Linked DNA regions of Mus musculus: region 2 is reported to be linked to region 1. The links are microRNA targets in miRTarBase. Many come from high-throughput screens and were not tested one by one. Region 1 holds a microRNA gene; the other region holds the end of a gene's coding sequence.
What was found. The annotated mature microRNA mmu-miR-344d-3p reads GAUAUAACCACUGCCAGACUGA and lies in region 1 at 1,112-1,133, shown strand. An mRNA with a match to its seed (bases 2 to 7 or 8) in the 3' UTR can be bound and repressed. Matches are read on the target gene's strand: a 7mer-m8 pairs with bases 2 to 8, a 7mer-A1 pairs with bases 2 to 7 and ends in A, and an 8mer does both.

Region 1 (3,410 bases):
AGGAATTGAAACCCCATAGGAAGAACAACAATATCAACCAACCAAACTGCTCCAGAGCTCCCAGGTACTAAACCACCCACCAAAGAGTATACATGTAGGGACCCATGGCTCATATGTAGCAAAGGATGGTCTTGTCAGGCATCAATAGGGGAAGAATACCTTGGCCCTGAAAAGACTCAATGCCTCAGTATATGGGAATGTAAATGCAGGGAGGTGGATTTTTGATGGGTGGGTGGGAGAACACCCTCATAGAAACAGAGGGGTGGAGTATTGGAGAAGGGGTTACTGTGTGAAAAAAGGGGAATGGAGGATAACCAATAAGTTAAGAAAATAGCCTATGAAAATAAAAAAAAATAGAATAGAAAATCCACACATTAAAAGTTCCACATATACCATATTTGAGTGTCAATAACCACAGCATATTAACACAGTTTTGAAAATTGAGTTGAATGAAATATTTTTCAGATTTATGTGACACTGCAGCATTTCATACAAACTGAGTACAGGTGGAGTAGGGCATGGGCAGAATACTAAATTTAGTATTAAAATAACTCTTTGTGGAAGCATGAAAATATAATATAAACATTAAATTATCAAGGAACAGCCATGCACTGAGCATACAACAGATAATTTGGATAAGGAAACAAAGGCACATCACAATGGGTGAGCAGGCAGCAAAAAATTGTAAGATAGACAGTCAGGTGAAAAGGAAACTGAGAATCTCTGGCAAATAACTTAAAGCTAGGAAGAAGGAGCCAGAAATAGGAAGATTTCCAAAGTCACAGTGACTTTTTTTTATGTTTGTCAGTGTAGAATGAATATGTTTAAAACATTTTTTACCCTCTGCTTTTAATAGCCCTGCTTCCTTCCAGGAAGCCAGAGAGGAGCCAGTGAGGTATGAATCAGCACTGACGGAGAGCTCCAAGTATTCAGCAGGACTTGATGTCCATGTCTACATATGGGATTTCTCTCCTGATTGGATCTGATTCAATTCTCTATTTGAATACACATTCTCAATCAATCAGAAGCAAGGAGAGCAAATAAATTTGTCTGCCAGGGAAGATTTCATTAGTCTGGTTGCTGGCTATATTCCAGGACTTATCTGGTCCTGGATATAACCACTGCCAGACTGAATGGTGCTAAAGAGAAGGGAGAGTGCTTGTGTCACTGTCAGCAGACAGCGCCAGTGAAATCATCAAAGCCTGTGCTTGTTTATTTCAGAGCCTCAATGCACTGATTGCTTTGGTCGTTTTGTATTGTAGCTGTCGCTCTATGGGAGATTCGGAGAATCTCTATGGGAGATTTGGAGAATGACACACTTTTCTCAGTCATGCTGGAATATGTCTTCTGCAAAGAAGATACAAGATTCAATCTCAGCTTGTGACAGAGACTAAGAAAAATTTTCACATTTTCACAAACTTAGGTTAGACACTGTGAGAAGTGCTGTGGAAGCAAATGCCTGCTACATACCACCATGGAGTCTCTGAAAAATCTTGATGTAACTAATAGACACAGATACTACCTTACTCAGGAACTAAGCATCCTTAGGGCAGTGATTCTGGCAGCAGGTTTTTATTTATGGTATGAATATTCAACAATTGAAACATTGTTTATAGTGTTATTTTATATTTAATATACTAGAATCTTGAGCATGTATGTTCTTCCAAGCCACTTCATTACTAACTATATGTTCAAGAGAGTCATGGGTCCTTTAGGGAAATCAATATATCATCCATCTCCTGAAGATCTCCACCTTGGTATTATATACACTATAGAAATGAAATGAGCACAGAAATTTTCATGGGGAACTTGTACTAGTGACTCCTTTGAGACCTATATTTTTTTTCTGTTATTTCGAATCTGTCTTAAGAGTCCAGGTCACTGTTGTATATCCTTGACATTTCTGAAATGTATTACTTTTTTTTTCAGATAATCTTTACAGTAGTAAACGAATTACAATTGTATGTACATCAAAATAATCTCTGTCCTCTTCATGAGCACACTTTAATTTTTACTTCACTTTACATATGGTTTTGATTATCTACAGTCCATGAACAATGTTTTCAACTCTAGATTACACTTAATACTCTCTCTCTATATATATATAAGAGACAGTTGCCGGGTGGGGGAAAAAAGAGACAGTTGTTTATTTTGTTATTTTGTTATTGCTCTTGTCCTTTACTAGATTTTCTTGGCTGATATTCTTCCACATCAGTTCTTTGCTATATAACAGCTCTTTAGAATCCGGAACCCTTTACAGAAATCAATAGATCATGTCCAGATCATCTCCAGCTGGTTAAAACGCAATATAAAGGAAGAAATGGATACAGTAATTTTCATTGTGATCTTGTACTCGTAGATATCTTGAGTCCTAAGATTTCTAATTATTTTCATTCTGATTTTAGAGAGCAGGCCTCTGTTATATATTCTGGATATTCATGAACCAGTATTATTTTGAATAATATATTCCTGACAGTAGAAATCACATTAATCTCTATATGCATCAGAAAATGGCATGTCTTCTTTCAAACTACACATTATATTTTCCTACACACAATGTTTTGTTTTACATAATCACAGCATATAAATATTGTTTTCAACACTGAATTTCATTTAATATTGTTCAGATTTTTTGAGACACTTGAGCATTTCATGAAAATTGAGTATTTAGGAAGCATAGTATGGGCAGAATATTGAAGTTAGGATTCCAAATCCTCTCTGAGAATACACTATTAAACATTATTGTACTAGGAAAGGTTACAATCAGAACATAAAACAGAAGCAATAGGGGAAGAAGATACAGGCACATCACGATTATTCAGCAGGCAGCAAAATTTCAAGATAATAAACAGTCAGAAAGGCTTGAAAAAAGCAGGGGAACTCCCACAAAGAGCTTAAATTTAGGCAGATGAATCCAAAAATCAGAACATACTTAACGTTCCACTATCTTGTATTTCTGTTGGTTTGTGTAGAGAGAAGGTTTGTCTGCCATCCACTATCCATTTTTCTGCTTTCTTTGGGGAAACCAGGGTGATGTGCTTGAGCTATGAATCAGCAGCATGGATGGAGATCTCCAAGGTTACAGCAGCATTTGATGTTCATGCCTAGAAATGAGATCTCTCTCCTGATTGGGTCTGATATCATTCTCTATTTGAATACACATTCTCCATCAATCAGAAGCAAGGAGAGCAAATAAATTTGTCTGCAGGGGAAGATTTCATCAGTCAGGCTGCTGGCTATACACCAGGACTTATCTGGTCCTGGATATAACCACTGCCAGACTGAAAGGTGCTAAAGAGAAGGGAGAGTGTTGTTACTGTCAGCAGACAGAGCCAGTGGAAATCTTCAAAGCCTGTGCTTGTTTATTTCAGAGTCTCCATGCACTGTTTGCTATGGTCCTTGTTTTGTAT
Region 2 (3,410 bases), not on the chromosome of region 1:
GTTTCCCATCCCTGCCCACTCGTCTCCACTCCTTGCAAAGTGGCTTGACTCCATAATGGTTGGAAAGGCATCCTAGTCGTGGCCTTTTGGCCACCTTTCTGACCGCAGCCTGCCTCTCTCTCATGTGTCTTGCTTACCTACCAGCACACCAAGGCACACCCACTCCAGGGTGGACACCCATGTGTACACCTGCCCTGTAGGCCTCCTCATCATAGACTTGGCTGCTTCCCCGCCACATGCACACAGCAGTGCTCACACTCACTTGCCAGAACGCAGCTGTGGCCCCAGGTAAACGATGGCCACCTGGTGCTAGGTGCCTTTGGGCATCTGAGTGGCTCAGGAGGCCTCTGGGTGCTCTGGGCCTTTGGGTAGCCCAGCTGGGTCATGGCTCCTCCTTTGGCCAACCTGGCCTGGCCGAGATGACCGGAACTCTTCGGGGTAACTGCCCGTGCGTTCTCCATGCCCGTCCCTCCGTCATTGAGCCGGCCACGGGGAGCATCTTGCACCAGGCCCACCGGGACCCTGACTGAACTCTCTCCTTGTTTTTGTCTCCCGCCCCGCCAGAAGGTGATGCTTCCGTCGGGAGCCGCCTTCCGGTGGTTTCAGTGATTTCAGTGACGGCCGGGAACCCAAAGCTGCCCTCTCCGTGCAATGTCACTGCCCGCGTGGTCTCCGGCAAGGGATTCGGGCGAAGACAAACGGATGCACCCGTCTTTAGAACCAAAAATATTCTCTCACAGATTTCATTCCTGTTTTTATATATATATATTTTTTGTTGTCGTTTTAACATCTCCACGTCCCTAGTATAAAAAGAAAAAGAAAAGAAAAAAAATTTTAACTGCTTTTTCAGAAGAACATCAACAACAACAAGAGAGGTAAAGACGAATCTATAAAGTACCGAGACTTCCTGGGCAAAGAATGGACAATCAGTCTCCTTCCTGTGTCAATGTCAATGTCAATGTTGTCTGTGCGGGAGATGCTGTTTTTGTGTAGAGAATGTAAATTTTCTGTAACCTTTTGCAATCTAGTTACTAATAAGCACTACTGTAATTTAGCACAGTTTTAACTCCACTCTCATTTTAAACTTCCTTTGATTCTTTCCAACCATGAAATAGTGCATAGTTTGCCTGGAGAATCCATTCACGTTTATAAAGGAATAGGTGGTGGCACCGTGTAGAAGCCCCTCTGTATCCATCCATGTGTGCAGAGGGGCCAGAGCCCACTGGGACTGGGAGTTCCTGACCCAGGCCCGACCATGTTGCACCCCATCGTCCCCTGATTGGGATTCCCCCTACCCCAACAGTGATGGATTTTGGAGAGATGAAAATTCTATTCATTTGTTGATCCACTGAGATCTGGAGAGCCCACATCTCAGTATTTCTGATCCTGGCTACTTCCCTTAGAGAAAATAAGCCCTCTTTTCTCAGCCTTGCTCGCAGCAGCAGAAGAAAGGGCTTCTCTGCGTGGTCCCCTGCTGGTAGGGGTGGGTGCCCAGGGGGCCCCCTGCCCGTGGCCAGCTCCCTGCTGAGGAACATGCTGTTTGTATTGTTTTAGGAGACCAGGCTGTTTTGTGAATAAAACTGAATGCATGTTTGTGTCATGATAACACTCCTGGCTTCTTGCTCTTGGGTTTTGGGGGGCTGGCTTGGGGCTGGGGCTGGCTAGAGTCTCTTGGGAAGGAGAAGCCTTTGGACCCAGGAGGTAGGGTGAGAGCTGGAACAGGCATCCTGGAAACAGCACGGAACCCGTTGTGTATGGAAGGGTTGGTGCGTCCCAGCTCCTAGCTCTTTAACCTGACCATTGCCAGGCAGACTGTGCTATTGGAGTGGGCCTGGACTACTTGGGTCCTTTTGCGGGGCAGCCATCTCCCACACACCTAGCCACCCACACAGTTTTCCCCTGGGTTTCTGGAATGCAGCTGTGCCCTCTAATGCCTGGTCTTGGATCCCTTCCATTCCAGCCTGATTTTAAGAAGTGCACTGCCTGCTCTGACCTCCAGAGGGTTGGTTGGTAAGGGGCGGTCTAGAACCTCAGAAGCCAGCCGCCATCTGGGGAAATCCTTACAGAGCCCATGGTCTAGGCCAGGGTGACTGTAACAGACAGGTGTGTGGTTCGGATGCTGCTTTTCACACATCCTAGAGGCCAACCTGAAGGATAAGGCCTTGCCAACCACTAGAGGAGTGCTCTTCCCCTTCCCCTCATCTGCTCTGAGCCTGGCAGAGATGGAAGCTAGACTTGCAGAAGGACTTCCTGACAAGGTTTCAGGTGGGTGAAGGCTTTCAGAACAAAGCAAGGTGGGGCTTCTGGAGCTGAGTGGGTGGTGAAGTGGGAGAGATGGGCTGTCTGCTATTGTTCCTGGAAGAGGGAGGGGGGAGCAGGGAGGAGGGATCCTGACCCCAACCCTTTCCCTGTGTCACAGGCTCCCTTGGAGCACCAAGGGCTCAGCAGCCTGGCCTGGCACAGCAGGGGTAGGCAGGGGCGGGGGAGGTAGCTTTCAACTCCATCCCTGCCTGGGAAAATTCCCTTTCATGTGGCTGCCTGTGATCTCTCCAGGCGGCTCTGCAAAAGGGGGGTGTCCAGCAGGGAGTGGGGGGTGTTACAGCTGGGGGCACCCTCATTGCAGCACAAGGCAAACCTGCATCTCCAGAACCTCAGGAGAAGGGAGGGCTTCAGAGGGAGTGGGGAGCCTGGCCAGCAGGGGGCACTGGGCTGGAGGCCTTTGCTGGCAGCACACAGACTGCAGATGGCCTAGGCCAGCCCTCTGGCACATCTCCAGGGGTGGGGTGGGTGGCTCTAGTGCCAGCCTTAATGGGAAGGGGATGTTGTGACTCGGCCGTAGCCCACCCCACAGTGCAGAAAGCCAAGGTCCAGAGCCCCTCACTTTTGAGTTCCTGCCTCTTGATGTACCCAAGGGCACTGTGAGGTGGACACTAGCCAGACTGTTTCTGAGGGAAGCAAAGGGAACGGGTTGCTGCCAAGCCAAGCCTTGCCCTGGGAAGTGATACTCTCCCCGTGGATGGTCAAGGAGAAACCGCCATCATGAAGGCCAGGCTTGGTGCATCCTGAGCAGTGGTCGAGGGCGACTGCTACTTTATAACTATTCACCAGCCCGAAGAGATGAGTCTCTGCTAAGAGTACTTGGTGCTCTCACAAAGGACTAGAGTTTGTTTCCCAGCGTGTGAAGCTCACAACCACCTGTAACTCCAGCTCCAGAGGATCCAGCGCCCTCTTCTGGCCACTTCATTCACCAGCACATAAGCGCACACATACATAGAGGTTAAATATATATTTGGGCCAGCTCTGGTGGCCCAAACCAGTAATCCCAGCTGTGAAGGCTGAGACAGGAGAACAGCCCTGTCTGAAACAAAACATCCTAATAAGGTGATTACATTTCCCTGATGCCAGAACTT

Region 2: miRTarBase lists Cxxc5 as a target of mmu-miR-344d-3p. Seed matches in the 3' UTR shown: 7mer-A1 at 756-762.

What each region holds. Positions count from the first base shown.
Region 1 is chr7:61,683,002-61,686,411 of GRCm38, reverse strand. Mir344d-2 (microRNA 344d-2) reads left to right here and starts at 1,061; the gene lies at 1,061-1,140. It overlaps Mir344d-1 (microRNA 344d-1), which reads left to right and starts at 3,220; the gene lies at 3,220-3,288.
Region 2 is chr18:35,860,086-35,863,495 of GRCm38, forward strand. Cxxc5 (CXXC finger 5) reads left to right here. Exons shown (of 3, transcript NM_001357458.1): 3 at 565-1,608. The coding sequence ends at 609. Among named protein-coding and RNA genes, the nearest start is that of Gm41693, 11 kb to the right of the region's middle.